2 linked regions of the Tribolium castaneum genome follow. The protein of the gene in region 1 binds, or shares a complex with, the protein of each later gene. Links are inferred from orthologs where the notes say so. Each region holds a gene or a part of one and is shown on either strand. Other genes may lie near its edges.

What was found.
Region 2: unc-112-related protein (region 1) and Ilk share a complex: the UniProt entries of both Caenorhabditis elegans proteins name them as parts of the integrin containing attachment complex. The link is inferred for Tribolium castaneum from reciprocal best matches to the Caenorhabditis elegans genes unc-112 and pat-4.

What each region holds. Positions count from the first base shown.
Region 1 is NC_087396.1:10,375,124-10,379,612, reverse strand, and holds the start of unc-112-related protein, read right to left. Parts: upstream 2,817-4,489; 5' UTR 2,661-2,816; coding exon 2,519-2,660; exon of another isoform or gene 2,462-2,518; intron 2,415-2,461; exon of another isoform or gene 2,086-2,414; intron 1-2,085. UniProt on the Caenorhabditis elegans protein: Component of an integrin containing attachment complex, which is required for muscle development and maintenance. Probable regulator of cell-extracellular matrix adhesion. Required during initial muscle assembly to form dense bodies and M-lines.
Region 2 is NC_087394.1:5,466,254-5,470,540, forward strand, and holds the start of Ilk (integrin-linked protein kinase), read left to right. Parts: upstream 1-1,179; 5' UTR 1,180-1,432; coding exon 1,433-1,521; coding exon of another isoform or gene 1,522-1,525; exon of another isoform or gene 1,526-1,539; intron 1,540-1,645; coding exon 1,646-1,811; intron 1,812-4,287. UniProt on the Caenorhabditis elegans protein: Probable pseudokinase that acts as an adapter protein. Component of an integrin containing attachment complex, which is required for muscle development and maintenance.

The sequences.
Region 1 (4,489 bases):
TGCTTCTAAAAAAAAGTTTTCTAAAAGGTGAAAGATCTTTATTCAGAACTAGACCCCTTAATTTTGAAACTAAAACTGAAGAAAAACCTCTTTCAACTTCGACTTCATTTTCAAATAAATTATACAAAATTTATTGCCAATCAATCTGTACGTCTCCGTAAAATAACTTTTATATCCCATTTCAGTTCATAGTAGAATTTTGCAACAGCGTTTTTGCATTTTTTTAAATGAAATGGAGCACAAATTGAGAGTTTATGGTGAATTTTCTTAACTCAAAGTTTGTCGCTGGGATTTAGTTTAACACAGAATTATTTTGTAATACTAAAACTCTCAATTTGTGCTTTATTTTTCAAAAAAAAATTCAAATGCGATGTTGCAATTCTACATTGGAACTGAATTGGGATATAACTCCAAAACCGTTCTTTCTCATATAAATTTTATAGCGTGAAGCCGATTTTTACCAGTTATATTGCTTAAGTGTAGACTGTTTTTATCAATATCATGAGATTTTATCTTTAAATGATGATATCTGTTCACAAGTATTCGATAATCACTCTTTTAAATTACAAAAGTGGATCCAAAATTCAACAGGAGAACGTAACTAACAAAACGAGGGCAAGAAACAGATAAAATTTGTGGCGAATTGGTGCCCAATAAATTTCTCAAAAATTTAATTCAAAGACCTGATAAAAAACTAGGTATAACATACAGGAGAACTCGGTTATAACAAACGCTTAAGGAACTTCACAATTTGTTCGTTACAACACATCGTTCATTCTAAACGAAAGTAATTTTGAAGTTAAGTGAATTCTAAAGCTTGGAATAGATACACAAAAGAAGTATTAATCTAATTTATTAAGAAAGATACATTTACATAATACCTAATGTTAACAAGTTTTCCAACAATTCAATAATTTTCAAATTTGTGGCAACATTTAAAATTTCTGATTACTTTGTGTGTTCCTGTGTCTGTTGGAATTTTCATGCAATATCAGAAATATTTATTGTTTCCTTGAACGTAACAATTCGTTATAAGTTATAATCGAGTTGTAAACCACTTTTTTGTCTAAATTGTAACTGTATTTGTAACTGCTCAATTCAAAGAATAAGAAACTATAAGGTAAAATAATAGGGAGCATTTTTAATTTTATTTCTACCAAAAAACCTGATTTCTAATTACTAGCTTTTAACTAAATAGTTCCCAACTTCGAAATTTTATTTTATGTACTGTTACACAAGCGAAAGAATTTTTCTCTACATTTTTATTAGTATTTAATTTTTTTAATTTTCAGAATAAACTGTGAATTTTTTTGGGAATTTTTTTTTAAATATTTTATACTATACTACTTTCAGATCACTTTCATGAAACCATTGTGGTGCAAATGACTAGCCGGTTACCATGACAACTCATAAAAATTAATGTCAAACGTACGCTATTTGTACCACAATGGTTTTATAAAAGTGAACCTCGTATACATGTTTTATGATTCTTTATATTCTTTATTTCATAACAAGGAAAAAAGGCACCAGAAATGTAAAAACTACATATCGATAAATTACTTAGCCTGCGACAACTTCGAATTTTTTCGGCGGTTTGAGGTCGTGACTAAATAAAAATAAAAAAATAAGTTTTCACCTTTAAAAATTGACAATTTGTTGTGTTCTTAGCAAATTACAACTTTGTAATTTATTCCTTAAGCTTAAAGGTGCATAATGAGAAAATAAACATTAAAGACACATTTTTATTAATGACGTGACAAGTGTCAAATATGACAGATAATACACCTGAAGACGGAAATCCCACCTATTGTCATGCAAATTTTCAAAATCCCTTGTCTCAGGTAGAATGTTGTAAAGTCTGTATACGAATCTCGAGAATATTTCTTGAATTTCTCACTAAGTTTGAAAAACAAAATACAGAATTTAGAATTTTAATTGTAGGAAGCAAACAATAAAAAATTACAAATTTGAAGAATGTTAAATAAATAGAGTATAAAGATCAGACGTAATTATGATATTTTCATGAAAAACAATGTGGCATAAATTATAAGCAGTAAAAATGATTTCATAAAAGGTTAACAATAATTTTTCAAGAAAGAACTAAAAGCATCACTGTGAGATATTTCACTTGTCCAAAATTGTGAAGAAAGCCCAAAATCCATAAAATAATTATGTAAACTGGTGTCATTTATGGAAACAACCATCTGGCTCCAAACAATAATTCATACGTCACAGAGCGTCCGCCAATCAGATCGCCTAAACAAGCAGCCTACTGGATCGTTTTACATTTCCTTTAGAGGTTATAAGTTATTTCCCCAATAAGTGACCGAAAAAATTCGTCGTATTTTGCACATTTGAATAAATTGGCCAAGGCCGATGATTTTTTCAGGCGCCGTCGAGTGCACAGACGTGGGGTATTTATTAATAAACCATCAGCGCAATCCACAAAACCGCATTCCAGCGACTATTTGCAACAGGTGCACTAACTGTAAAAGAATCGAATTCTTCACATACTGACCCAAGTCCTCGACGAGTCTCAGCATAACTCCTCCGATGTGCAAGTCGCTCTTCACTCGGAGTTGGCGCTCCGCTTGCAAATCGGTAACTAGCACCCGCAGGTTCCAGGAGCCGTCACCCACTATCTGTCCGTTCGCTATCATTATTATCAATTACTTGTCACTTCACTATCATTAAGATAAGATAATAAAACTCTAATTATTTATTCCGACATTGTTTACAACGCGGGGCTCACTGCAAACCCGAATCGTCTCGTGACTTGGTCCTTCTAAGAACAACTACTCGTGATTGGTCGGTGCTTCATGTGTTTATCTCTTGTTAAAGTGGAGGGAGAAAGTCATGGAACAGTGTCACCAATCGTCTAAACGAAATATCACCAGATTATTCAAAAAACTTGTATTCTGCTTATAATCCATTACCACAGATTAGAGAGTGTCCTATGAGTACTATGAGTAATTGTAACCCCTAAACATAAAAAAATTTTTCAAAATACTGGCCGGAGATGACATAAATGTGATTTTGTTGGTATTTGGTGAAAGCTTAAAAAAATATCTGTTCTCACAATAATTTATCTTAGAATTCTTTCGTAAGATTCCGCCAAACTATGTGGATTTTTTTTATAAATTGTAATATAGCATATTAAAGTATAAGTGGATATTGGGGTTTTTAAAACGCGCGATTTTTCGAGCACGACGCGACGGCGTAGCCGAAGTGCTCAAAATAAAGCAAGTGTTTTAAAGACTAGTTATTCACTTTGAAATCATAAATACTGGTATTAATATTAAAAAAAATTATGTAATGTGAGATAAGTATACCTTTCGTTGTCATGGAATTGATGGTCATTGTAATAAAAAAATCATTAAAAAGGTGACATTTATTCTTCACGTTTCTTGGGTTATTAATGCGCGTTTTTCAAAGTTGGATTTATACACACAGCAGCGATTTTCAAATAAGCAAAATAAATTACCAATAAAAAAACTTATATAGGCTTTAATCCCTCAGTTTTTATAAAAATAACAGGATCCTCCTACACTAAAACACAGGATGTACCCACCGGAAAGGTGCTAATGGTAAGAGCAATAGAGATGGAGATGGCAAAAATGCAAAAAAGTAGGTCTTTTATTCTTTGTTTGTAAGATAACTTTTTATAAAAGAACTTTTGCTTCAGAATTACCTAAACTATACCCACCTGTCCGGTGCGGAGCGAGTTCTGATACGGGCTGTATACAGAATTGCCCAGCTCAGCTCCCGTTTTCTGTAACTCAGTTATTAGTAAAGTTGGAAATTTTGATATTTTATACACGTTGTTTTTATACTCTAGGAGTCTAGGAGGACGTATTTCAGGAAAATATATTTGATTATACAAAGTGTCCCAAAAAAGTATGACTTCATACTATTTTTTTAATGGCATGCTATATTTTTTAGTGCCTTTTTAGCTTCTTACATGTCCCTAATTTTTTTAATCGGTTCAGGGACTACTGTTAAAAAAATAAAAACCAAAAAAAAATGTTTTTTAAAAATCAATAAAAAATAGAAACGGTGCATTCTTGACGACATTATTAGTATGTAGGTCTTGAAGAAGACTTAACAGACTTATTAATTAAGTTTATCCATAGCCAGTCTGGTAGTCTATTATTAGATCATAATATTGCTATTAGGAGACATCTTATGATATCAATAAAATAAAAAGATCTTATGATTTTTTTATATCACTCGATGCGGAATTAAATAAAAAATATTTTTTGTTATCACAACTCTAACGTAAAGTTATATCTTCAACTATTTAGGCCCCAAAGTCCTTCAAAGACGCTCAGTGACAGATTTGCTTCATTTTGCTGGTGGTCAAGTATTGCTAAATTAATTTATACCTAAACCGTTGAAGATAGAAGTATGGTCTCGCGGACTTTTTTTGTAGAAAATTTAATTCCCTCAACCGTATTCGCAGCGTTCGCAAAAATATAAAGTGTATCGC
Region 2 (4,287 bases), on another chromosome or scaffold:
TTCAATAACTGTACCTATCCCGTAGTTATTTTCTAAAAATAAGTAACTTTGTGTATTATAGGTCTGAAGCAGTTTTCACACTGTTTGCTTTGAGCTGTGAGAAGCTACGTATCTTTTGTTGTATTTACACTGATATCTCGTTAACTTGTGTTATTGTAAATATTACGAAAATGACGAATTGTTAGTACAAAATTGTTGCGAAACTACTGCCAATTATTTATGTGATGATGTGTTGCTTCGAGGGCGGGCGGTCCGAGGGATATTTTTGTACCTAATGATTTTTTCCCTATCATTTTAAATACAACAGAAGATTTTTGTGTATATGTTATTTTTTGTTTATTGTTACAAAGTGATACGTTTATTATTTACTTGTTTTTTTATTTATAGACAATGTATTTCTTGATCGCGCGTCAAGAACTATTTTGTATAACTCGTGAAGGACATGAACTAATTACACTTTTTACACCTTCATGATTCTGTCAGTGAGATCATATTTTTGCAATTTTTTATTTCAAGACGAACGAGCGTAGTCTAGTAGGCGGGTTTAGTAATTTTCGTTTAGAGTGACCTGCGACGTTTGACAGGCAGTACCGCCAACTGTGTTTCAAGGTTCATGGCCACTCTGATCATTTTATTAGTTGTTTTGTTCCAAAGAAGCACATATGAACAATTGTTTTTCACTAACCAATTAGATTTTGTGGAAGTGTATGTGTAGTTTTGCAAACATATCGAGCAGTTTTTTGGCTGTTAAACAGTCTGGTGTGTATGTGAGGCAGTTGGTAGACTTGGAAATTTTATAGAAAGTATTAATGTTAAGCTTGTAGCTCTCTATGCACCTTTTTTTTCAAATTCGTTTAACTGGTGCAAATTAGCTAGATTATTTGTCTGATTTGTTATTTATTACATTGGTCTCGCTAACAGGACTTGTACATAATATATTTACTTCCAAAAATGTGTATAACAAAGTTTATTAAACTATGTGCTTTAACCCGTGTTTGGAACTCCCGCCGGCGTGTTGCCAACCTTTGGTAACTTCCCATTCCTTTTATGGTAAATTTTTAATTAATTTGGGGGCCCAATCTAACTAATTGTTACCTAACGGAGCGGGGGACAGTTTTTAGGACGTTACGTTTGATTTAAAATCCTTTAAAACAATTAAAAAATCAACTTTTTTATCCGTTTGGGGAATTTCAAGCGGCACGGTTGGCAACACGTCCAAATATGGCCGTCTGTTGTGTAAAAAAGTGTTTAGTTTTCCTCACCTAATTACCAAAAAAATCCTTATCTTATCAAAGTAATGCGGTAAATAGCTTCCGGATAAGCGACTGAACGCACTCATTATAAATAAAAACCAATTCTCGCGTTTTAAACACCACCCAAGTGAACGCCCATTTGCTGGTACAAGTGCCCCACTTTTGGGCAAATTGCCGAAATGGAGGATATTTTCCAGTGGTGCAGGGACGGGAATGCCCTCCAGGTGCGGGTTTGGCTCGATGACACCGAGCACGACATGAACCAGGGGTGAGTTGTGTCTTTGAGGTTAGTTTAATGGCATTGCCTAATTTGGTCAGTGGTGTGGCCGTGTTGTGTAATAATTGGGTGTGTGTGGGTTTGTTTGGTTTTTACTGATTGGTGATTGTCTTAGGGATGACCATGGGTTCAGTCCGCTGCACTGGGCGGCGAAAAGGGGGCACACGAAGATTGTGGAGATGCTCTTGCTCAGGGGGGCGAGGGTCAATGCCACCAATCGGGGGGACGATACGCCCTTGCATCTGGCGGCTGCACATGGGCACAGGGAGATTGTGCTTATGGTTGGTATTTTATTAATTTATTAATATAAGAGTAATAATAAGTCTGAAGACTTACAAGGTTGTCACTTTATCGTTTGACTTTTTACTAAAAAGAGTTGGAAAAAATTATCATCGTCACGGTTAGGAAAATTAAAAATTATTCCTCAACCATTTTTAGGAATTTTTTTTTATGTGCTTTTATAGAATGTGGGTTTTAACCTACTTTTTTTCAAGCGAATACACTATAAAAGTACAACAAATTGAGACGTAATCCGAGTACACGTTTCTCATTAGAAAGCAGTATTTTTTTATGTATCTAACAACTCAGAATGAGAAGGAAACCAAGGAAAAAGTGAAAAAATTATTGGCAAAAAATAAGAACAATCATTTGCTGAAGTTGAGCTTGCAAAAAATAAACAAAATACTTTAATTTTTTTGTTGTTTCTTCTAAATTAAACTATTATTAGCTCGCAATTTATTTAATAGTTATCTTATGTTAACAATAAACTGGTTAAAAAAATTTGTATTTTTTTTACTGAAAGTACTTAAACCTTCAAATAACATGCAAAATAAAATAACAGAAACCTTCTATTCCTATTAAATAAACAAGTCATCAATTTTTTGATTTATGTGTGATTATTTTTTAATCAATTGTACCTACCAAAAAAATAAAGAAATAAAAAGATAAATTAGTAAGTTGTGTAAAGTTATTTTGCAATTACTGATTTTTAGTTTTAAGTAGCGTTGTTTGTTTTATAGTAATGTTTAATGTGTTATTGAAGGTCCTAATAATTTTTCTCAATGATACTAAATTAGAATTTACAGTTGTCGCTCAATAAAAAATGCCTTTTACTACCTCTCCATATAAATACAATCTTTGATACTGAATTCATAAAACAATAATAAAAATAATAAATAAATTAAAATATGTAATTACTGATAAGTACATCGTTTTACAACTCATTAATTATTTAATAATAATAATAATAATATTATTATTTAATAATAAATGGTATCGATTTTATAGATGTTAACTTGTTTTCTTGAAAAACTTGTAGCAGAAAAATCATTTAAATTCGGATTGTAGAAATTTTGGGATTTTTAGAAAATTATAAAAAACAAAAACACTACGTGGAAGTGACAATAAATGTTTTTTACGAAAGTGTTTTTGGCTCTAAAATAAATCATTTTATTATTATCCGAAAACTTTTGATTAAAAATTATGAAGCTTCGTCTCTCTTAATTTTAAATGAGTTATTCTAGATATGTACTTACTTATGATCATAATCAACAAAAGTGATGAAAAAATTTTTCGATTATAATAAATTAAATGTTGAAATCAGCTGTTCCAGTTCTATTTTTTTATTTTTAATAAAATAATTTAATTACATTTTTCTGAACTTCTCATAATTCGTCATTTTAAAAATGTTTATTATGTTGATCGATTTTGTCAACTTTTTGAATAAAACGCCAATTGTCCATTTAATAAATCTAGTCTGATAATGGACAAATGTTGGGAGCTATTTATTTTTATTTGTTTTTTTTTATTTTAATTTTAATTATCTGAAAATTCTCGTGTAGATTGAAATACTCAGCACTTTTCCTAAAATACTGTTAACAAGATATAAACAAGGTCGGAAAAAATAGTCGACTACCGACTCAGGCACAATAATATCTTAAAAAAAAATTGGAAAATTAATTTTATGTAATACTTGAAACCTAGCATTTTTTGTTTAAAAGCCAATGTGTAGTGGTAATCCTCTTAAAAAAACAGCAATTTACGATGAAATCAACATTAGTTTTTTTACAAAGAATGTTTTAAAGAAACAATTTGCATCTATTGTTTAAATTGTTTATTTCATTCTATGCACCATAATATACAGAAAATAGTGTACTTTAATCAGGAATTCCACTCCAAATCATAAACATTTAGCTATTTGTATATCTATTACTAGTCAAGTCAAGCTATATTTCAAAACTACTATTTTTTTTGTTTTCCCATGACTTTGTTTAACTTGGAATCAAATTTATTTTCGTCATGGACATACTTTAAAAAAAATATGTTTATAAACATACTTGAAATTTTCTTAAATTGTATTTGACAATTTTTTTTACTAGTTCGGTCTATTTCTTTCGTACTGCGAGTGACGTTTTTTGTTTTTATCTTTTGGAGCGCATTTTTTTCACTAAACAATGAACAAATTTTTTTACATTAGGAGTGAAATAAATGGTAATTTAAAGGATTTTAAAAGAAAAAAAAATGAATATAAATATTTTCATTGTTATTTTTTTATTATTAAATAATAAATAAATAAAAAAAATTATTTATTTTTTTATTAAATTATTTTTTGATTCAGGCAATGTTGATCTCAAACTTCGAACTTGTAACTCTTAATTTATGCAGGATAATTTTTTAAAAGAAGGCACTTATTTATCTTAGAAAATAATGGAATTTGAAAATTTCGACAGAGGTCGATTTTGACTTTTTTTACTGGGC